Linked DNA regions of Canis lupus familiaris. The protein of the gene in region 2 interacts with the protein of the main gene of each other region in a pairwise test. Links are inferred from orthologs where the notes say so. Each region holds a gene or a part of one and is shown on either strand. Other genes may lie near its edges.

What was found.
Region 1: the proteins of TNFAIP3 (region 2) and YWHAH interact in a two-hybrid assay, tested with the Homo sapiens proteins (2 studies listed by BioGRID). The link is inferred for Canis lupus familiaris from reciprocal best matches to the Homo sapiens genes TNFAIP3 and YWHAH.
Region 3: the proteins of TNFAIP3 (region 2) and TRIM23 interact in binary tests that used the Homo sapiens proteins (3 or more experiments, as listed by UniProt). The two-hybrid records come from large-scale screens. The link is inferred for Canis lupus familiaris from reciprocal best matches to the Homo sapiens genes TNFAIP3 and TRIM23.

What each region holds. Positions count from the first base shown.
Region 1 is NC_049247.1:25,192,267-25,200,020, reverse strand, and holds the start of YWHAH (14-3-3 protein eta), read right to left. Parts: upstream 4,859-7,754; 5' UTR 4,667-4,858; coding exon 4,580-4,666; intron 1-4,579. UniProt on the Homo sapiens protein: Adapter protein implicated in the regulation of a large spectrum of both general and specialized signaling pathways. Binds to a large number of partners, usually by recognition of a phosphoserine or phosphothreonine motif.
Region 2 is NC_049222.1:30,481,611-30,489,462, forward strand, and holds the start of TNFAIP3 (tumor necrosis factor alpha-induced protein 3), read left to right. Parts: upstream 1-2,962; 5' UTR 2,963-3,098; intron 3,099-4,059; exon of another isoform or gene 4,060-6,452; 5' UTR 6,453-6,467; coding exon 6,468-6,762; intron 6,763-7,852. UniProt on the Homo sapiens protein: Ubiquitin-editing enzyme that contains both ubiquitin ligase and deubiquitinase activities.
Region 3 is NC_049223.1:50,587,953-50,595,497, forward strand, and holds the start of TRIM23 (E3 ubiquitin-protein ligase TRIM23), read right to left. Parts: upstream 4,859-7,545; 5' UTR 4,783-4,858; coding exon 4,702-4,782; intron 1-4,701. Other genes in the region: TRAPPC13 (trafficking protein particle complex subunit 13), read left to right, coding at 5,576-5,621.

The sequences.
Region 1 (7,754 bases), on a different chromosome or scaffold from region 2:
GAGGAATCTTACCAATAACCCAGCTAATGAAATGTTAGGACTCATCAGCTTATAAAATGTACTTAAAACTTGTGCCAAGCAATTTCTTAAAATACCCCAAGTACAACTTAACATAGTTCTGCACTTCTTAATTCATAGCAAGAATTCAAATTCAATTAATACTTTGCTTCTTAAGCTTAAGAAAAAAAAAAAAAAAAAGACAACTCCTGTTCTTCAGGAGAACAAGCAAATCCCATGTGTTAGACTGCCTTTTACACTCCCCTGCTATAGCTAAGAACCACAGTGGTAGATTCTGTTTGAAGTCAAACCTGGCAAAAATGACTTCTGATAGATGAAATTACTTGTTCACTAAGCCCACCTGTGTAAAGGGCCTGCAAGGTTAAAGTGAGAGTTCTAAATTAAAGAGTTCAAATCTTGGTTTTACAACCTGACATCGAGAAAATTAACCTCTTTAATTCTCATTTGTAGGGCAGCCCCAGTGGCGCAGCAGTTTAGCGCCGCCTGCAGCCCAGGGCGTGATCCTGAAGACCCTGGATCGAATCCCACATCAGGCTCTCTATATGATGCCTGCTTCTCCCTCTGCCTGTGTCTCTGCCTCTCTCTCTGTCTCTATGAATAAATAAATAAAATCTTTAAAAAAAAATAAAATAAATAAATCTCATTTGTAAAACGAAGTTAACTATCCCGAGTTAGCCCATCCAGAGTTATGAAAATTGAGAATGTACACATGGAGTAACAGCAACCATTTACTGAATGGCTATTCGGAAAATGATTAAGTTCCATAAACTCGATGAAACACATTTGGGGTGTCTCCTCCCAAACCATTTCTGAAAATGTGGCACTGCATCTACCACTAATATGAAATTCCAGGCAAGGCTCTGAACTATTCACCATCTGAAGTCCTTTTAATTCAGGCTACTGCAAGAATCCAGAACCTTTTCTTCCTCAGCCAGTATATGGCAAAGCAATACTTACATTACAAATGACCACTTGGTGGGAAATAGTACTCCCTAGTTTATATGTATTTCTAACTACAGCACTGATGTGGCTTTAAGATTTCACACTAACCACAATTTTGGTACACCTCAAAATCATCCTTAGTTCTAATATCTGCAACACGGGTTATGTCTCACTCTGAGCAACTCAGCCGAGCTCTCCTTTTATACACCACCTGCTCATTCCCCCACTTCCCATAAACTCACAGCTGTTGGAATAAGAGTTTTTGCCACTGGTTAGGCCAAGTGCCTCTTCCTCTCAGGCTGTTTCTTTAAGCTGCAGCTTTGTTCCTGCACTCAAGGTTTCTATAGATAATTCTTCAAGCCTTCAGATGTATTTCTCTGTCCTTTGCCAACTTTTTTTTGTTTTTTCTTTGCCAACTTTTGTAATCAACTGTGTATCAATGTTAAAATACACCATGCTTTCGTAACTAATTCTGATGTTTTATAAACTCAAAATTACAATCTATATAAAATAGATGACTTAAGGCAATAAGAGATGTGAATGAATTACGTCTACCCACGAGTATTCATTCACCAGTAATCTGGTTATTTACACTCTTTCCTTAAATCACTTAGTCTAATGCACGGACACTTTCATCCCCCTTTACAGGTTTATTCCAGTTTATTTCACTTTCTCACAAGATGGTATAGTATCCGTTTTTCAGAGGTTACGATTTGGGTAAGGTCATTCCAAGCCCAGCCTAGAGAGGACCTAAGTTCTTACAATCTTTCACAATGCTTCTTTCCACTATTACACTCTTTGTAAGCTGCTAGGTAGGAGATGAAGAGATCCTGAAGACCCTCCTTTACTTCACTTCAGAAGGATTTCTTGCCTCTTCAAAGGATGGGGTAAGGCAGGGAACTTCGGTTCTCAAGTGACTTGAGGCAACACCATTGTTTCCAATACGCATGATTTTTCTTAAAGCTTACCGACACCATCCTCCAGGTGATGCTGATATGAACATCAATGATTACAGGCAGGCATTATTATTAGGTGACCATTTAAATTATAAAGAGAACAGAAAACAAATTAGAAGAATAAAGACAGAAAAATGACTTGATAGTAACCCCAACATTACTAGTTTTACCCTGCAAAGGACTGGAAGCCAAGAGATGTTAAGTTTCGAGGTTACAGAGTGGTGACATCAGAACATCTCCTCACTCGGGCGTGCTGCTCCATCTACCCTAGAGCAGTCTACTTACCTTCCCTTCCACTACCCTGAAGAAAGCCCACATAAACCCAAAGGGTTACTGGAGTTTCCCTTTTTCCAAAGCTCTACTTTAAGCCTACTATATTAATAAAATGGGGACTGAGTCTCCCCAAGGACATTAAGAATGTACAAATATCAACTTAATAGGTAAAGCCTAAGAAACAGTCTTCCACTAAAGCTTGCAAAGTCCTTTCCAATGAATATATTCCATTAATTTAGATGACAAAAGAATTTCTGACTTTTTAAAAGGAATTACATTGAGGGAATGATTGATCACAATTCTCAGATGACATCATTGGAGCTTGGATTGATTTTTCAATGCTGGATGGCTTATCCAACCCATCAATCATTTCAGATAGATATTACAGATTCTCAACACACAGAAGGGTCTATTAGTTTGCAAAATGCTACCTTTGGGCCTCAGGGAAAATCTGTGAACCTAAGTTTCTAGCTACAGGATAGCATGATTCAAGCCTGCTTATGAAGACCAGAAAGCCAATTTTTTTTCTCTCTAAACTGTATTTTATTCTAGTTACATCTCTCAACCCTTTCCCTACTTCCCATTTCAAGGTGCCTTAGGTTTCCCAGAGCTCCAGAATGTTCTTCCTAGACACTCAACTCACCTTTATTTAAGCCCCATTCACTGGGTGAACAAGGGCCTCACTAAAACGTCTAGAGAGGCCTCAGCCTGCACAATCCTATTACCACTTTGTTACTGGGGAAAAAGACACTCATTCAAGTGTGGCTTGCTGTGTGAACGGAAGTGGCTCTTATCCCAAAGGAAATTAAGCTCAGAACCTTCAGAGAAAATACATTTACAGTTGTTTCTGTAAAATTTGCAAAATTAATATATTTTTACATTTACGTCCTTAAAGAAGGTCCCCTGAATTATAAAGACTTCATTCAGATCCCAGATCTAGAGTGTCCCTGGTTTAGACTATCTAACCCGTGACACCATGCCAGTGCTCGGATCAGGATCACCGATGAATCAACAAATGAGTGGCAGTAGTGGTTTCCAAACACACCTAGTGCCATGTGTAACAAGGACACCACAGGAAAGATACCTCTTCAAGTGTCTTCCTTAGCGGGTTAATCCTAAATACTGACCTCCTCAACATATTTCAAATGATATTAATATCAAAAGCCTTAAAAGCAGCTTTTGAAAAAGCAGCTTTTCAAAAGATTCTGAAATTTTAGCAAGCCTCTCAATTTGTAGATGAATGAGAAATGTCACAAGGCCAGCAAGAGGACAAGCGAGCCTTAAGTCGAGTAATTGTCAAGCTTCAGCCTGCTAAAGATGGCCATAAGCGCTGGTTAGGGTGTAGATTTCGGAGTCCTACCCCTAGAGTTGCAGAATCTTTAGGTCTAAGGTGGGGCCCAGGCGGATCCTCCCAGGTCTCCGGAGGATGAGGTACACTGGTTGAACATAGCAGGTTGGTGGCCGTCAGTTGTAGCTCTACCACTGTGTGACCTTGACGCGGAGAAGTAATGTTCATTTAGAGAAAACGTAAAATAAAGTTAGAAGACAGAGGGGCAGTAAGAGGATAACGGGGACTCATCTATGCAGGTGCCTGATCACGGTATGTGCTAGGGTGTGGCTGGGCACGACTCCTTCGCCGGAAATCAAGCTGCAGAATCAATCTAGGGAGGGGGGAGGGGGGACGAGGGAGGCGGGTGGGTCTCGGGAAGGCAAAGGCACAGACAGCCCTGTCTTGCCAAGAAGTCACGTCCCATTTGATCTCCGGACAGATGCCCGCTGCCTCGAAAACCTGGGAGTGGGGTCCCACACCCGCCGCGCTCCTCCGCCCTCCGCCCTCGCGCTGGCGTGCACGTCTAGACTGCAGGGGGGCGGGGTGGGGTGGGGTGGGGTTGGGGGGGGGTCTTCGCACACAAAGCCGGAGCCAGGCGTGGGAAGACGGAACGCGAACGATGCGGGCGGGCGGGGCGTATTACGGATCGGAATCTCGCCGACTGAGGTCGCGGCAGGCGGGGAGCCGCTCACGGGGTGATTCCGTACTGCAAGTTGGGGTTACGGAGGCAGGCGAAAGGGAGGGGAGCCCCGGCCGGGGCGGAACGGTCTAGGACGAGGAGTGCGGGCACCCCTCCCCCCACCCCGGCTCCGAGCTGGGACGCGGCGACCCCGCCCGCCAGGGGCCACTGTGGCCCAACCGTGCCCGAGGGGCCGTGTCCCCCCCGACCCCACCCCGGCCCGGCCGCAGGAAATGGCGGGGCGGCGCGGCGCGGCGCGGCGCGGGAAGCGCGGGCTCCGGGCGGGCGGCCGCGCCCAGCGAGGTCGCGGGATCGGCCCGGGCCCGGAGGGAGCTGCCGCCCAGCCGCCCATCCCTCCCCTACGCCGCCCGGCGCGCTCACCGCCTTCATGGCGGAGGCCATGTCGTCGTAGCGCTCCGCCTGCTCGGCCAGCCGCGCCCGCTGCAGCAGCTGCTCTCGGTCGCCCATGTCGCTCGTGGCTCGGCCTCGCCTCGCGCCCGCACCGCTCGCCCGCTCGCCCGCTCGCCGGTCCGTGCGTCCGCTCCCCGGTCGCCGCGGAGGCCGCCGCCGCGCACGCGCACTGGCTCGCCGGCCGGCCGAGGCTGCAGGCTGCAGGCAGCGCCGCCGCTCGCGCCCTCTCGCTGGCTCGCCCCGCACGCTGTGGCTCGCGCCGCCGCCGCCGCCGAGGGAGGACAGGCGGCCGCGCGGGGGGGGATGGGAGGGCGGAGGACGCCTGCGCAGTGGGAGCCGCCGGGCCGGGCGGCGGGGAGCGGCGGGAGTGGGAGGGGGGAAGGGCGGGCCGGCCCTAACGGTCTATTTCAAGGTGACGTCACCTACTATAAATAGCCGCCGCCGCCACCTCCGCCGCCGCCCCCCCCCCCCCGGGGCCGGGAGCTGCGCAGGCGCTCTGCGAGTGCTGCATTTTACCGCCGCAGAGGTGGAGGTGGGAGAAGGGAGTGGGGTGGGGACTGCGGAGCCCGGGCCCGGGCCCGGGAGGGGGCGCGGTGACGGCGGCTGCGTAGGTAGCTCAGTGCCATGGCTCCTCCTCGCAGGGCGTCTCTGAGGCCAGGTTGGAGGTCTGCCTTGAGAAGGACCCAAAAAAGCAGATAACCGTACGGTTTGAGAAGCCAGGAGGCCGTGTGCCCCAGGGGGCGGGCCGGGACCGCCCCGCCGCCTTGCAGGCCTAGATCCCGTGGGGACGCGCCCTGCACCGGGAGCATCTGTGCTGCCCAGGGCACCGTCGGGTCTGGACTCTGCGGACAGCACCCCGCCCGCCTCTCACACCCACCGGGCTGCAGCCCTGGGCCTCCACCAGAGGAGGGACGGGGGGGGGGGGGGGGGGGGGCTGGGAGGAGTAATGTCCACGACCTACCTACCCAGCCCAGTGGTAGGCCCGTATCGGCATAAACATAATCCTCTCAACCCACACCCCTCAGGTGGGCACAGCTGGTCTCCCCATTTTCAAGCCAGATTAATGACTTGCTCAAGGTTAAAACAGCCTGTATGTGGTGAAGCCAGGATCTGAGTTCAAACCCAGTCTGAACTTCCTTCTGTGGCAAAGAGGGGGTTGGATGGGCTGACTGGTCTCTAAGCCCTCCCAGTTGTGGCATTTTTTTTTTTTTTTAAGATTTTATTTTTATTCGTGAGAGACACAGAGGCAGAGACATAGAGGGAGAAGCAGGCCCCCTGCAGGGAGGGAGCTCCATGCGGAACTCAGCCCTGGAACCTCAGGATCACGCCCTGAGCCAAAGGCAAGGCTCAACCACGGAGCCACCCAGGCGCCCCACTTGTGGCATTCTTTGCTGAGGGCCGCTCATGCCAGGCCCCGAGGCTGGGCCTCGGACAAACTAGGAAAATCTCAATGACTGAAACATAGCCTCACTCAAGTACAAGGGTATCCCAAGGGTAGCACAGGAGAAGGGACCTTAGTCTCTTTGAGAATTTTATTGCGTGCTCAGCACTGGGGGAAGGAGTAGCTACAGAATAAGGATACATCCTCTTGTCTCATAAGCTATATCTAAATACGTAAGTGCAGGTAAGCTGAACCTTGTGGGAGATGAGACGGAAAAGGTATAAGGGAGTGGGGTCCAGCACAGGCAAAGGCTTGGCAGTGAGGACAGAAAATCTGAGAGGTGGGCAGTGGGAAATGAGGTTGGGCAAAATGAAATAATGGAGTGTTTTAAGTGCCAGTCTGAAGATTTGACTCATTATCCCTGGATCCCTGGGAACCAGAAGAGGTGTGGAAGTCGTATTTTGAGCCAAGAATCTTGCTCTGAAGAGTAAGATGCATTTGCAGGGAGAAGACAGGAACTGGACCTTAGTTTTACTATCTAGCAATTAAACCTGAAAGACTGTTAAATGCACCGTAGAAGAGAAATCCTAAAATGTCCAAGGTGCCAGGACATTTAGAGTCACTGTCATCTGACCCTTTATCCCATGAGAAACTGAGGCAGGAAACTAGGGGCAGAAGAGGTGAACCTCAGTTTGCACAGTGAGTTAGAGCTGGGGTCCCCATACTAGGTCTCCTGCCTCTGAGCCACCTTCCCCTCACTGTGATGCTATAATGAGGACCTCAGTACCCATGAAACAGGATTTGAGTGTGCATCTGGGAGAAGGTTCCCACTGCAGGTTGCACCGTGCTTTGTTTTTTTTTTTTTAAGATTTTATCTATTTATGAGAGACACACAGAGAGAGAGGGGCAGAGACATAGGCAGAGAGAGAAGCAGGCCCCTCACAAGGAGCCCGACATGGGACACGATCCCTGGGATCACGCCCTGAGCCAAAGGCAGATGCTCAACCACTGAGCCACCCAGGGATCCCTCACCGTGCTTTAAAGAGTCACCTTTGCTAACTACAAATGGAATTGAGGTTAACAAACTAGGCTGATCTTTCCCCTGGTGGATATCTTTAAAGAACATGATAAATGATAATTAATTGTCCACCCCACCCTCCATGAAAATGGGGTTCCAGTGAGAGGTGGGAGGAGGGTCAGTGCTGACGGGAGGATTTCGGTGGTTCATTCCAGCTCTTAGAGAGGTTACAGCCCTTCTAGCTTTTCTGGTCATGTTGGGCTCAGATTGATTTCAAAACAGTGAAAATTAGGTAGACTAGGGCATTCTAATTCTGTCAAATGGGGGACGCTTTGGTTCTCCCATGAAGCTTTTCTTTCCTTTTTACCAAAGTTCGCTGCCTCCACTTCCTCACCTCCCACCATCCCTCAAGCTCAGTATATTCTGGGTCTGTTCCTACTCTATTCCCTCTCACTGTGGCCACCAGTGGCCTCCTATTGTCACTCCAAGGTCATTTAATAGTTCTCACCTTCGTGGCCCCTTTGAATACACTGGGCACAACTGCTCCCCCTTCTTAGGCTCTCCTCCAAGCTTTCATGACCCTGTATTCTTCTGGGTTCCCTCTGCTGCTCTGTTGTTCCTCTTCTCTGGTCTCCTATGTGGGCTTGTATTCTCGGCCTGCCCTAAAATACTGGGGTTCTGCAGGGCTCTGCCCCAGGCCCTCTGCTTTTCTTACTCCATCCTCTCCTGGGTGACTTCATCCACGC
Region 2 (7,852 bases):
TATTAAAATTTGAGGCAGGCTTCAAAGCTACCCTGCAATAACTAAATATGGTACCTGCCTCTCTGTAATCTGGTTTCTCCTACCCCCTGCCCCTCCCTAACCCACTGTCTTGAGACTCATATCTTTTTCATTATGCGGTATAGGGATACAGGCTACAGACACAGTCCTACGGACTAACTCGGAGAGCTCAAGTATACTCACTGTATGTGGTTTGTGTCACGGGAACGTTAGCATGTTTCACCACAGTGAAAATGGCACATAATCCAGGAATTCTCCGAAAACACTCCATATAATCAGAATTCAATTTTCCTCTAGTAAGGAAACAGGTGTTTTCCTCCTATGTGTCCACTAGATGTTAATAAGCACACGTTTCTCTTTGCAGAGCTCTGTTCATCTTGCTAGAGACTATCACAGAAATTAAAGTGCCTTGCAAGACTTCGGGGGCACTCTATATCTCTCCAAATTTGATATTTCCTTTCCTGTATGCCCATATGGAGTCTCTCTGTTCCTCTTCCACTCTTCCTTCTGATTTACCACCGAGAAAATCCTTATTGGTTTGGCCCACGTGTTGTTAGAAAGGGAAACGTGTATGGCCAGAGCTCTGACTTAAAAGACAGAGAGGACAGTAAACTCTAGGAATGGGCAGGATTGAGGATGCTTCCTCAACAGAGAGTCAGTCCAGCAGAAGAACTGGGGAAAAGGGGAGAGAGCAAAACTGAGAGTTACAGACCACTCCTGCATCTGACTGCTATGAACTCATCACAAATCCCAGCAGGCAAGACGGTATAGTGGCTACTATGGGACACCTGAAGTGGCAGATTCGGTCATGGTCTTTCAGGCTTGTTACTCCTGCTATTGCATCCCCACTCATCAAACCAAGCAGCAGATGTAAACCTAGAGGGGCAATGGAAGCTACAGGGGAGGTTGCAGGGCCGGAGCCAGACAGGAGAGAGAGCAGGCAAATTCTTTTCCCAAAGGAGCACAAGGGGACAGTGGTCTGAGGGTGTTCTTTCATGTATACCATCTTTTATCATCTCAGCTAGCCCAGAATATTTCCTGAGGATGGAACGAAGGCCCACCTGGCTCCCAAGCTCACCTTCTGCTGCTGCCCAGCACCCACCTTTGACTTAGTGACTGCTGTGTGTTTGTGAGGCTGGGGGCCAGGGTAGAAACAATGGCCTTGAGATTTTAAGTCTTGGAGGATCTTTTCTGAGAGTAATATTTAAGACCCAACAGCGTTTACCTTGGAGTAAACAGGCCCAGTTCCAATCACGGCTCTGCCACTGACCGACGGTGTAGACTTGGGGTAAATGGCTTAAGCTTCTTACACTTTAATTTCATAGCTTCAAAGTGGAGTTGTTTTGAGGCTTAAGTGGCAGAGTGCCTTTCAAACACTTAGCCTAGAGAGCGGCATATAGTAAGGACTTAATAAACATTATTATTATCATATTCCCTATGCGTTGTTTGAGAGTTGGTAGCTAAAAACATTTGTGAATGAACAGCTTATACCAGCAGGTATAAGAAGAAATGCCAGGAGGTTTGGAGTTGTCAAAAGTCCCAGCCATTGGTTTCAAATGGCCAGCACCAGCCTTGGAAGCTTGGCCACTTCTGACTCTCCGCTCTGAGTGTCTCTTTGCCAAAAATGTGCCACCTGGTCCTCATCCAGTCCTCCATCCAGTCTCTGCAGGTCCTTACTGGAGAGGAAAGCATATTTTTCTAATTCCAAAACTGGGATACGAGGCCCAACTAGTATAAGTAAGTCTAGAAGGGGACAATGCACAGAATATTTCAATCTGGTTCTAGTTTAGCTATTCTAAGAAATGCGCCAAGGGGGACTCTTAGCCAGTCAAAGTGCCTGCCTCTCCCTCTGCAATTCAGGCACCTCCACTGTCCAAGTGGCTGACACCTATTTCCACAGGACGTCCTTTGGGTAAAGACTGCGGGTTACCACACTATTTAATAAGGGGTGGGGGTCGTGGGTGGGTAAAATGTATTATCAGCCCTTGACACCTTGGCCTGAACTAATTGTCAGGTCATGAAAAAGAGCTCCTAATAGGGCCTTAGGGGGGCCACGCAAGGACAGTAATAATGGACTAGAAATGATTTCTAAACCGAAATGTTCCTGCGTGCCGAGCCCCCTGGGCACCTGGTGTGCAGGAAGGGAGAAAGGGAAATCAGTAAAGTGCAGAACAGGGCTGATAGTTGCTCTGATTCCCAACTTCACCTAAGATAGGTTTTGCTCCTGCAAATTTCAAGGCTGTGGGGCCTCAGGAGGTCACCCCCAACAGGCCGCCGTCTGGGCGGCAGAACGCTGGGATGGGGACGCACGGAGGGTTGTGAAATCCCCACCGGGGCCCAGAGTAGGGCGCTCCCCGACGAGCTCATCACGTGCACAGCCCTAGCTTTTCCAACCCAGCCCCGAAGGCTGCGGTCCCGGACGCCCGGGTGGTTTTTAGGGTTTTCTTTCTTTATTATTTCCCTTATTGTTCTCCACGGTTGGTGATTTTCTGCAGAAAAACGGCTGAGAAAAAAGAACCTATTTCATTTCCAGTTCCCATCACCGCGATTTCCACATGGATGTGACGTTGGGCCAGCTTCCGAAATGCCCAGGTGACTCACGCGGGGACACCCGGGGGCGGGGCTCAGGAGTTTCTCGCGCGGGGGGGCGGGGCGGGGCGGGGCGGGGCGGGGCGCCGCCGGCCTCCTGCGCCGCCCGCGCCCCCTGCGCCCCCTGCGCCCCCTGGCGGCCGGCGACCGCGGGGCTCGGCGCCGGCCCGGGCGTCACGTGACTGGAAAGTCCCCGGGTGGAAATCCCCGTTCTCCGCCGGCGGTAAAACAGAAAGGGAAAAAGAGAACTGGCAGTCTGCAGTCCTCGCAGCGGGCCGGTGCAGCGCGCTCGGAGCCCGCGGGGGCGGAGCGGTGACAGCAGCCGCCGGGACAAGTGCGGCGGCGGCGGCGGCGGCGGCGGCGGCGGGCGCGAGCCACACAGCCCCGCGGCGAGCGAGCGCCGAGCCCCGGCGTCCATGGGGCGCCTCCTCCGCGCGGCCCGGACCTGACCCGGACTTGGGACTCTGGAAGAGGATCGCGCGGCCGGACAGGTAACCGCCGCGTGCCCGTGCCTCTGCCAGCGGCGTCGCGGGGCCCGGGCTGCGCGGGTGCGTCACCGGCAGCTCCTCGCGGGCGGGAGCTTGTCGGCCCGGGCCCGGCCCGGAGCTCGTCGGCCGTCGGCGCTCACTGCGGGATGTGAAGTGCTGGGAGTCGAGGCGGCCGCGCACGACGCTGGGGTGACAGCTCGGGAGCCCTCCGGCCAGCTGTTCCTTGTAGATGCTGCCAGGAACGTAAGCTGCAGCAGGCGGCTGGAGAGGAGCCCCCGGACGGCCAGGTCGCGTGGTCCTCGGTGCTTTGCCCCTTTGCGTGCCTTTTTTATTTTTCGATCAAGCTCTGGATGCTCGCGGACACGGAGACCTTGCAGAGCCGACCCGCCGTGGCTTCTTCCCGGCGGGTGCAGAGCCAGGCCACCCGCCGGGCGGGGGGGGCGTGGGGGCCCGGGCCAGCCAGCCTGCCCTGGGTCGGCTTGCAGACCCCGCAGCCCAGTGCAGGGAGGCGGGTGGGCGGAGGGCCGGTGCTGAGCTGCTGCAGGCGCCGCAGTGCGCGAGGAGTGTGCATGCTCAAGCGGGACGTTGGCCGGCTTTTCGGGTGCTCCAGTGGACGGCGACCTGGAGGCCCCTGCCCCAGCCCCTACCCCACAGTCAGACGGTCGTTGTCAGCCCGGGTCGTCCCACATCCTGCCACCTGGCCTCTCAGGAAAGCAGTGGTATTAAGTAAGGAAGGAGCTCAGCGCTTTTGAGACCGCTTTGTTTTCAGTTCTCCCCGCCTCTGATCTTCTTTCCTTGGAAAGCTGGTCTGGTCAAGTGTCTCAGGGCAGCCTTTGGGGAGGACCGTGGTTCATCAGTCCCCTGGACCTTAGCACTAGTGTCTGCAGTTGTTACGCAGCCGGTTATAGCTCCATTCCCATCGTCTAAGGTGCTTCTTTGTTTTTTGTTTTTTTTTTTTCTCTTTTTAACAATTCTGTGTACAAGTTTTGGAGTTTAGGAGTGAGAGTTACCAAAAATTCGATGAGGCATTTATTGATTTAAAAAAAAAAAAAAAAAGTCAGTGAGGTGACAAATGTAAAAGAAATGGTAAGGGTGATAGCATATGTCTTTACCTGTAAGGACGTTACAGTTATAGGTCAGGAAAATTTATTCTTTCATCTTAAACGTGGAGAAGTCCGAGAACTGGGAACTTGGCTGGTGGGTTCTAATTCTTTTCAGGAGGCGATCGATTCCACAGTGTGTGCAAGGCTAAAACTATGAATGAGATGACCCAGGGCTATACAGTACTGACATTTGCATGTCTTACATATGGCAAAGAGCGCTTGTGCTATTTGAGGTCTTTGCTGAAAGATCTTTAAATTAGAAGAGATTAAGAGAAGATTCGGAAAACTCAAAAGGCAACACCTAGCTTGTTTCAAATCTTTTTGCTTCCGGCCTCTTCCCGTCTGGCAGCAGCAGGCACAGGGATGGTGTTGTGGGAACTGCAAGGGGCAGGTGTTGGAAGATCTGGCTTCCAGGCAAAGCTGTCTGCCTTGGGTGGTGTGGAACCTGAGCAGGACCCGTGCTTGTGTTGCCATGGCTGTGGACAGGGAATAAGGGCACCTGTGATTTTTAGTCCCAGCATCCAGCATGGCTCTCAGCAGGTGAGCAGGCAGTGCTTTTTAAGCAATGGACAGATGAATGAGTGATTGTGAGACTGGCCATGCCACAAAGTGGAAATGGGTGTAATGTTTTTATTGCTTCATTATGCTTGTGCCCTGCAATAATTTTGCCCAGTTCCACCTTCAGGGAACTGAAGGAAAGATTACCAACTGGCCCAGAGAATAACTTCTCCCAGGCCTCATTGACAATCAGATTTGGAATCCTGGTCCAAAACTATCACCAGAAAACTCCTCAGAAGCAACCTTGGGTCATCTACTTTAACCTCTCTATTTTGGACCACAAGTTTTAAATCACTTCATCAATGGCTTTAAGAGAGCCTAGACCCACCTAGGAATGGCTTCCCTAAAATCTAGGTTTCTTCTCACTCTTACACAGGTTTCAAGTCTTCCTCAACTAGAAGCTTGCCCTGGCAAATAGTATGGTGCAGGAGTGAGATTAGCAATCTCCATGAAACTTCCTAGGGAATGTCTTCATGCTCCAAAACCATCTTTGCCTTCATCTTGGAAACCAAGATGTATGTTGGGGCACCCTGCTAAGGCTTGTGGCTTTCCACACAGCTCCACACTGCAGAGATCCCACGTTGCATCAATTCACAACATCCTACGCTATTGGCATGGGTTGTAGATGCTGGGTTTTGCACCACCCCCCTCCCCCCGCTTCCTTCATTTATCATGAGCATCCCCCTGGCTGAAACATCTTTCCTTGCCCATTTCCAGACTTTTATTTCCTTCTACCAGCAGATTATGTTTCAGGATTCCAGGGTGAAGACAGGGTGGGAAATGCATTTGAGTGTTGGTACCTGGACAATGATAATAAATGTAGTTAAGTTGAAATAATTGAAATCTAATGCCTGCTCTCGGAAGTGTAAAATTTATTCTTGTATTATTATTATTATTATTATTATAATTCTATGTCCTATTCTGATGTTGTGAAGTTCAGTGGAGAGGTTCTGAAAGACTTTATCATTGACCGTTAAAATTGCAAAGCTTCTTACTGGAAATAGGCTTTTTCATTGGTTCTAAGATATTCAGTTTTAACTTTTATAAATATTATAATACATTTTTATAAATAAGCTCTTGATAAATATTTCTCTTCGGGGCTAAAGAGGAAACTCTAATCAGCAGCCTACGTGACAACATAAAATTGTGAGATTTTCCACAAAACATTTATTCTGCAGTGTAGGGTGGGAGGGCTTAAAAGAGATAAATTAAGGCTTTGCCTAAAAGCCAGGGCTGCTCAGCAGTGGTCTTAAGGGAGAAGCTAAGGACTTGTCAGGGCCACCTTGTGCCCGTCACTGGCATTCAGAGCTCCGAAGACCCAGTGGCTGTGTCAGAGTGGCATGCGAATGAGAGGGGAGCTTGTTGGTTATGAGGTGCAGTACCTGTTGCCGACGGATGGGCTTGGCTCCCTGACAGACGTTACTGAAAACACGGGTTATTCCCCTCCTCCTCAATACCCACTCCCCGCCTTCCTTCTCTTGTTTAGACTAATCTTTAAAAGTGATGTAACTTAAAACAGTCCAGTGTGAGTTAATCTCGGGGGCCAGCTAGTATCCTGGAGTAGAGGTGACTAAGATCTTTTGCCTACAGATGAGGCTAATGACAAGATCAAACACTGGGGTTTCCTGCAGGCAGGTATATAGGAGTGGTATCGAAGTCGGGCTAACGGAATGGGTTTTTCTTCCCTCCTCTTCAGGTGTTGCAGAGCACGATGGCTGAACAGCTCCTTCCCCAGGCTTTGTATTTGAGCAACATGCGGAAAGCTGTAAAGATACGAGAGAGAACTCCAGAAGACATATTTAAGCCAACCAATGGGATCATTCATCATTTTAAATCCATGCACCGATACACACTAGAAATGTTTAGAACTTGCCAGTTTTGTCCACAATTTCGGGAGATCATCCACAAAGCCCTCATTGACAGAAGCATCCAGGCCTCCCTGGAAAGCCAGAAGAAGCTCAACTGGTGTCGGGAAGTCAGGAAGCTGGTGGCACTGAAAACGAATGGTAAGAAGCTTTTGTCTAGGGGTTGGCTCCCACAGTACTGGATCCCCATTCATCAAAGTCTAATAGCACTGGTCCAAACTCAAGCCTTTTGAGAGCATAACCACCTTAGTATAGAATACTCAATAAAAAGCATGTGATAAAAGCAAGCTTGTATACAGGTGTTTTTATTAAGGATATTTTGTAGTTGTGCATATTAGAGAGCAGAACCACTCAGGCTTGAGGAATGCATCTCTAAACACGGTGCCTCCCATTAGGGGACTTAGGTATCTTAATTTTTGTGGCTATTTGTGTAATCATTTGTAAAATACCCTTTCCTGGCCAGTCATGGAAACCTTAAAAGACTTTAAGTTCAAAAGGAAAGCATGGTGTGAAAATTAGTATTACTATTGTCTCCCACAATCATTAGAAAATGTTCATAATGATGACCTTACATATTTTGAATTGATGACATGTTATGGCTTAACCAGTGAATGGCTGCTGTCTGCCTCTCCCTTACCTAGGTTCTGTTGGTTTTGGTCCCAAGATACAAAGTAGAAAGATACTTGAGATTTTTAGCCCAGATTTAGAGGTCTCTAGGTCTTTACTGCACTATTTTTAGGGATTCCTAGTTCTGAATTTCTTGTGTCTCTCTGTGTGTATCTACCTATTGGCCCTTTACTACTGGTAGTTGTTTCCTGTTCTAAACTTCACTGTTTTGTTTTTTGATTATTACCCTTGAGCAAGAGTATGTGTATCATGGCAACATCCGAGCCTACGAGATACAAAATCCTACGTTATAACATCACTGATTATTACAGCATCAAGTAGACTGTTCACCATCAATTAAATGCTTATAGTCTAGGTGAGGGCAGAAATCAGGTACTTATATAAGTAACAGTCCTTCTTTAAGACCACCTCGATCAAAATAATAGCCCTAAGCATAGGAAATCCTTGTCAGTGAGAGGATAATTAAGTTAGTTGATACCTTAACTTTGGACATTTTTGAGTTGGGTCATGTGGAGTGATTGGAGATACGTATTCTGGTGGGGGGGTCTTGTGTATAATTACTACAATATCTTGCATCTTGTACTTTTGAAGTACAGATTCTTAG
Region 3 (7,545 bases), on a different chromosome or scaffold from region 2:
AAGAAAATCCACATGGAAATAAGACTTACTTAATCCATTAAAAATTTAAAATCAACTCTAATTAATTTGGACTTCGTGCATAAAATACAAACTTTCACTGTAAACTGATCATTCATAATTGGCTTACACCCCAGTATGGTTCAAAAGAGGCTTAAATGTAACATACATATCAAGAGAAAAGACATAAAAACAGCTCTTTAAACATATGAAAAGATGTTCAATCTCAGTCAAAGCACTTTGAAACGCACTTAAATCTAAACCAATATATTTTTTCAGATTAGATCAAACAGGTGGAAAACCCTTTGTGTAATCCTTTGTGTCGGCAAGTGTGTGGGAAAACAGATATTCTTAAACTTACTGACTGCTGTGAAATGTTTACTAAAACAGGCTTTAAGAAAGGCAATTTAACAATACCTATCAAAAGTTTACTTAGCTTAATAGTTGTATTTACAGAAATATATCTGACAAATATATCACAAGGGTGTGACAAGATCTCTAGATCATTCCTCACAGCGCCATTTGCATTTGCAAATGATGGGAAACAAAATAAATAGGTATCAGTATAGACTGGAAAATAAATTATAGTATATTCATATACTGCAAAACCACGCAGTCTGTTGAGAAAGAGGTAGTTTCTTATGTATACACACAGAATTGTTTCATATGAATAAAGAAAAGTGAAAAATACATAGAATATTTAGCTTTTGCATAAAGCTGGGGAAAAAAGAGCATATATTTATATATGTATTTTTATACAGGCACACTATCTTTCTAGCAGTATACACAGGAAACGGATTACACTGGAATAGTAAATGGCTCCCTATGAGGAGGAAAACAGATGGGAAGAGTTACACATAAATTGTATTATACACAGACACTTAAATGTATCTTACATTTTTTAAAAAGGCAGGACAGAAGTTTCATTTAAATATCCTCGCTTAACATAAGAAAATGCTCTGCATCACTTGCCATCAGGGAAATACAAATCAAAACCACAATGAGATACCACCTCACACCAGTGAGAATGGTCAAAATTAACATGACAGGAAACAACAGGTGTTGGAGAGGATGTGGAAAAAGAGGAACCCTCTGCCCTGTTGGTGGGAATGTGAACTGGTGCAGCCACTCTGGAAAACTGTGTGGAGGTTCCTCAGAGAGTTAAAAATAGAGCTGCCCTATGACCCAGCAATTGCACTGCTGGGGATTTACCCCAAAGATGCAGATGCGGTGAAACGCCAGGACACCAGCACCCCGATGTTTATAGCAGCAATGTCCACAATAGCCAAACTGTGGAAGGAGCCTCGGTGCCCATCAAAAGATGAATGAATGGATAAAGATGTGTATATAAAATGGGATATTACTCAGCCATTAGAAACAACAAATACCCAACATTTGCTTCAACGTGGATGGAACTGGAGGGTATTATGCTGAGTGAAATAAGTCAATTGAAAAAAAAAATAAAAAAAATAAAAAAAAAAAGAAATAAGTCAATTGGAGGACAAACATTATAGGTCTCCTTCATTTAGGGAATATAAAAAATAGTGAAAGAGATTAAAGGGGAAAAGAGAGAAATGAGTGGGAAATATCAGAGAGGGAGACAGAACATGAGAGACTCCTAACTCTGGGAAGCGAACAAGGGGTAGTGGAAGGGGAGGCAGGCGGGGGGTGGGGATGACTGGGTGATGGGCACTGAGGGGGGCACTTGGCAGGATGAGCACTGGGTGATATGCTATATGTTGGCAAATTGCTCCAATAAAAATAAATAAATAATATCCTCGCTTAAATATCAAATTCATTCAGATACAGAAAAGATACAATAGAATTAGATATAAAATAAATACAACATTTTTATATATGTTCTTATTTTTGTAATACAATAAATTTATGACCATAATCTCCAAAGAATCAAAATAAATTTTAGTGCATTGATATCTTTTATCTCTGACCCCATAATTGCACAAGATGAAAGAACTTGAGTTGCTACCACAGGTTTTTTCAAAAAGCACTGGTAATATACCACAGATTTACAAACCAAACACGAGTCCAAAAATAAACTTACTAGACTATTTCACATCAACTCAATAAACAAGAGAGTGAGATATTCTTCCTTCAGTGTTTATGAATAGGAACTGTGGTTAACAGCACAAGGAATTAAATCCTAAATAAGAAAAAAGCTCTTAATTTTATCAACTTCACAAATATGTCAAATGGAGCTTCAAACTAATATCACATGTAAATCAAATTTTAATAAGTCAGACCATATTTTTTTAAGTTCTTATTTTTTTAATAATCTCTACCCCCAACATGGGGCTCGAACTCATGACTCAAAAATCAAGAGTAGCACACTCCTGCAGCTGAGCCAGCCAGGTACCCTAACCAGACTAAGAAGACTCACTCTGCAAATGAAACTTTCCTGGGGCACCTGGGTGGCTGAGCAGGTTGGGCGCCTGCTTTCAGCTCAGGTCCTGATCTCGGAGTCCTGGGATGGAGCCCCAAATCCAGGCCCCTGCTCAGCAGGGAGTCTGCTTCTCCCTCTCCATTTACCCCTTCCCCACACTCACGCTCGCTCTTTCTCTCAAATAAATTAAGAAAAATTCGAAAACAAAAAAACTTTCCTGATATTTTTTTCTTTTAGAATGTAAGTAATTTCATAATGTCAAATTTTGCCTTTGACTTCTCTAATTTGAAAAAACCCTGTCATTATCAACTCGTTCACTAAACACATTATTTCACATTTTCACATTATAGACTTCAACTTTTACCTTCCAATGAATAATTTCTGCTTTCATCTACAAAAATGACAATTAGTCGGATTTTTAAAAATTTATGCCATCATACCCCTTACAAATTACGGCATAAGGATCTTGACAAAAAGGACTACCCTCCTGCACAGCTCAGGCACATTCTATGTGTGAAGACAAAAAACACACAAAGTGAACCTCTAACATATCAAACTTTGTGCTGTAACAAATTTGAGTCATATGAGGCTTTCATATATATATATATATATAGAGAGAGAGAGAGAGAGAGATTTTAAGGCAACTAGAGTAACAATAATAGATACACCAATAATATCCATTGTAATTACAACTTAATTCAGTATAATTCACAAAATAATCTCCAGGGATCCTCTTTTAGATAAAGCACAATTTAATAAATAAGACTCCGATCATACAACGTGCCTAACAACAGTGCCCCTCTGTATCTCAGATAAAGCTGTGTACCTTCAGGGTACCTTTATTAATACACAAAGGCCAGACGAATTAAAAGCCATCAACAAGTGATAGCATACCTGTGAGCCGAAATGTTGTAGCATTTGTTGTCATACGAGACTAATAATAGGTGAAGAATCACAGATGGGTCTTACCAAGATCTTAAAATAACTTCAGATATTATCTGGAATATTGGTTCTCAACCATTAAAATCACATTAAAATCGCTTCTGGGGATTGATTTTATTTTTAAAATTTATTTATTTATTTATTTATTTATTTATTTATGATAGACATAGAAAGAGAGAGAGAGGCAGAGACACAGGAGGAGGGAGAAGCAGGCTCCATGCCGGGAGCCCAACGTGGGACTGGATCCCGGGACTACAGGATCGTGCCCTGGGCCAAAGGCAGGCGCTAAACCGCTGAGCCACCCAGGGATCCCCGCTTCTGGGATGTTTAAAAAAAAAAAAATGCTGATGTCAAGTTAATCAGAACTGGGGGAGGAGGTGTGTATCAGCAGGGTTTGTTTGTTTGTTTAAGTTCTCAGTTATTGGGGGCTCAGCGGCTTAGCACCTGCCTTCGGCCCAGGTCACGATCCTGGAGACCTGGGATAGAGTCCCACATTCGGCTCCCTGAATGGAGCCTGCTTCTCCCTCTGCTTGTGTCTCTGCCTCTGTTTCTCATGAATAAATAAATAAAATCTTAAAAAAAAGAAAAAAAAAGTCCTCATTCTACTATGTAGCCAGTAATGACAATTACCAATAACTCAGATTACAACAATCCTGAAAGTTATCACAAGACACTGAGATCAGTTCTCCCTTGCACATCTTCTTTCCCATAGGTCTAGAGTGGAGGGCAAGGATGAATCCCACGTATTTCAATTGATCTTTCTTTCTTTTTTTTTTTTTTTAGATTTTATTATTTACTTATTCATGAGAGACACAGAGAGCGAGGCAGAGACACAGGCAGAGGGAGAAGCAGGCTCCGTGCAGGGAGCCCGGCATGGGACTCGACCCCAACCCCGGGTCTCCAGGATCACGCCCTGGGCCGAACGCGGCGCTATACCGCTGAGCCCCCTGGGATGCTCCCAACTGACTTCTTAATCAATGAATCTTGAAGCATGTAAGCACACTAGAATTTGGAACCTGAAGCACAGGGCAATCCCCATATCCCAATGCCCAGCCACGCTGCTGCTGGGACGCGTCCCAAACGTGTGGACAGTCCGTACTCACGAGCGAGGAGGGGCCCGACTAACCAACACCACACGTCTGGTGATAGGAGGAGGGCAATAATGAAAACCAGAGCTAAAAAGGCAGTCACCCCTGGATCTGTCGGAGGGGAGGAGAACGGACGGGGGAGGGGAGGGGAGGGCTAGTGACGCCAGGAGGGGCGCAGAGGCCCAGCGAAGACGGCGGAGCGCGGCCGCCAGACCTCAGGGACGAACCCAGGGGAGGCCGCAGGTGGGGAACACAGCACGCAAGGCCCCTCACCTTCACCACGGCCGTCCCGCGGCCGCCCTGCCGGCCAGCGTCCAGTCCCGCTCCAGGCTTGTTTACAATCAGGGTAGCCATCCTACGCGGAGCGGCGCCGCAGGAGCAGCCGTCACGGCCTCCAACGGAGGGGCGGGGCCCAGCCGCCTACCCAGAGGCCTCCGCGCTCGCCGCCGGCGCACAGGCGCAGTAGGAAGCGCGGAGCGCCGCGGGGCTGACCTTTGCCCCCCTCCTTCCGCCAGTCCCTACCTCTTCGGCGGCGCCGCCTCGTGTATTTGAACGCTTTGCTGTTTGTATTCTTATTCAAGATGCGGTCTGCATCTGCAACTGGCGGAAGGAATACGAATAAAGGAAATTTAAAAAAAAGAAGGGATAAAGCAAGAAGCAAGTTTCGAGGGGAAGCCCCCGCTTCGATCACCACCTCCGCCTAATGGCAGGCGAGACGCGGGATGGGGAGTGGACTACATCTCCCTGCATGCAATGCGGCTCTGCTTATAAACTACAAATCCCAGCATGCAAAATCCTCCGCGCCCCCCCCCCCCCCCCCCCTCACTGTGCGATGCAAGTCTTTGGGACGCTGCGCGCTGTCACCGAGAAGTGGTTTCTTGAAATTGTGATGCGTGACTGCCGCTGGGAAATAGACAGGGATGTAATGGACAGGTGTCTAAGGAGCGAGGGATGGCTTCGGTGAAAGGAAGCCGCTGAGTCCGTCCGTGAAGGACGTGATAAAGAAGAGACTTGAAGGCGGCAGCAGCGCGGAGAACCCCGTGGGGAGCGAGGTGGAGCTTCGCGAACGTCGGCTCTTCCGTTCGCTTCCGGGCTGCGCTGAACCTGTGCGGCTGCCGTAGGCCGGGGGTCGGTAGCGCCGGTCAGGATGGAAGTGAATCCCCCCAAACAGGAGCACCTGCTGGCCCTGAAAGGTAGACTTTTACGCACCTGACTCCCTCTAGTCTGTTTTGTCCTCTTCTCTCGCTGGTTCTCGAAGTCGTTGCCACAAAGACCCGGTCCCGGGGACTCAGGCCTCGTCTTTTCCTTCGACGTTGCCCTGCCCTGCCCTGCCCTGCCCTGGGGCGACGAGCGGAAGGAGGGGGTTCTTCTCCTTGGGGCTCTCAGGTCTGACGGCCTCTCCCTAGAGAGGAACGGATAACCTGGTAAATCACCGGAGGTGGTACTGCTGCACCTGCCAGGCTGCAGGGGGTGTCGTGGGGATGGGACAGTTCATGTCAACCTCCGTTTTCTGTGCATGGCAAGAAAACTTGTAGTGAATTTGATGATTTAGGGGAAAACCCACAGGGCGGCGTTTTTCTGGAATTCTTACTGTTTTCTGAAAACCTTTTGTTTAAGATAGCTTCAGCTTTATTTTCTCTTCTGCTTCCACAAACGTGTTTTTTCTTTTTCTTTCTTTTCCTTTCTTTCCTTCCTTCCTCCCTCCCTTCCTTCCTCCCTCCCTCCCTCTCTCCCTCCCTTCCTCTACTGTGTGGTCACCAATAAGTTCTTGGACTGAGCTGGGAAAAGGCTCAATAGATTACTTGAATTCAGTTAAGTTGCACTGACCTTCAGTGATGTGAGCATCAGACGTTCCAGAAGCTCACCAGTGCCATCCCTAACAAAATCAGATACTCCTAGCTGAGGATAATAGGTTTATCTCTGGCTGTAGGATTAGAAAGCGATATTAAAGTTCCTTTTAAGTATTTATTTATTCATGAGACAGAGAGAGGCAGAGACACAGGCAGAGGGAGAAGCAGGCTCCATGCAGGGAGCCTGATGCGGGACTCGATCCCGGGTCCCTAGGATCACACCCTGAACCAAAGGCAGATGCTCAACCTCTGAGCCACCCAGGGATCCCAGAAAACAACTGTATTAAATAATATAGCAATAGGATCTGGAAGCTCAGCCTGAGAAAATGAGCTAGACTGAAATGGGTTCTTATATAGAAGAAGGGAAAGAAACTGTCTTTTTTTCTTCTTCTTCTTAATCTCATGTGAAGTATGTGGAATAGATTTTACTTAATATCTATCAGAAATTTAAGAGACTTTCAGGATCACAGAGCTAGAAAGCGATTGGAGGCAATATTTTAGCCCAAGGCCTTTACCTTTCCAAGACTCCATGTTGCCTCCTAATGGAGGAGGCTGCATTTTCAGAGAACATTTTCCCATTAACTACTATGACGGGGAATCTGAAACAGTTCTCTTAGCTGCTGGGTATCAATTTACGCAAACTGAAAGCTATTAAACGCCAAGTTACATTGCAGTGATGTGGAAGCTAAGTGCCATTGGGTATTTTTAGTTTTCTATTATTCTTTATTTCCTGAAACAGAAGATCACCTGGGAAAGAGTATTTTAGCAGCCTAAGAGGACAAGTGCTGTGAAGTTCACTGATAGTTTCAGTTTTATTAAAGCTCCTCGGTATCATTGTTCCCCCTTGCTACTCAAGAATTTTCACAAGTTGTGGGGCACCTGCCTTGCTCAGTTGGTGGAGCATGTGACTCTCCATCTTGGGGTAGTGAGTCCAAGCCTCACATTGGATGTAGAGGTTACTTTAAAAAATAAAAAAATTACTGAAAAAAATAATTGTCACAGATTTTAATTTTACTAATTATTAGATGCCAAGTGTACCAATTTATATAGTCATTTAAGTTTCTTATATATGTAAAATACTAAGAAGCTCTCCGAACCTTATCATCCTTGGAATACAATGTTGAATAAGTTCTTTAAAAAAAGAAGAAGAATTCTCAGTGCCATATTTTACAATGTAAGGAAAAGGAAAGGAAAAAATAAAAGTATTATTAATGCTTTTAAGAATATGCTCTCTGTGTTTAGGTTCATATTAAAATTATGGATGGTA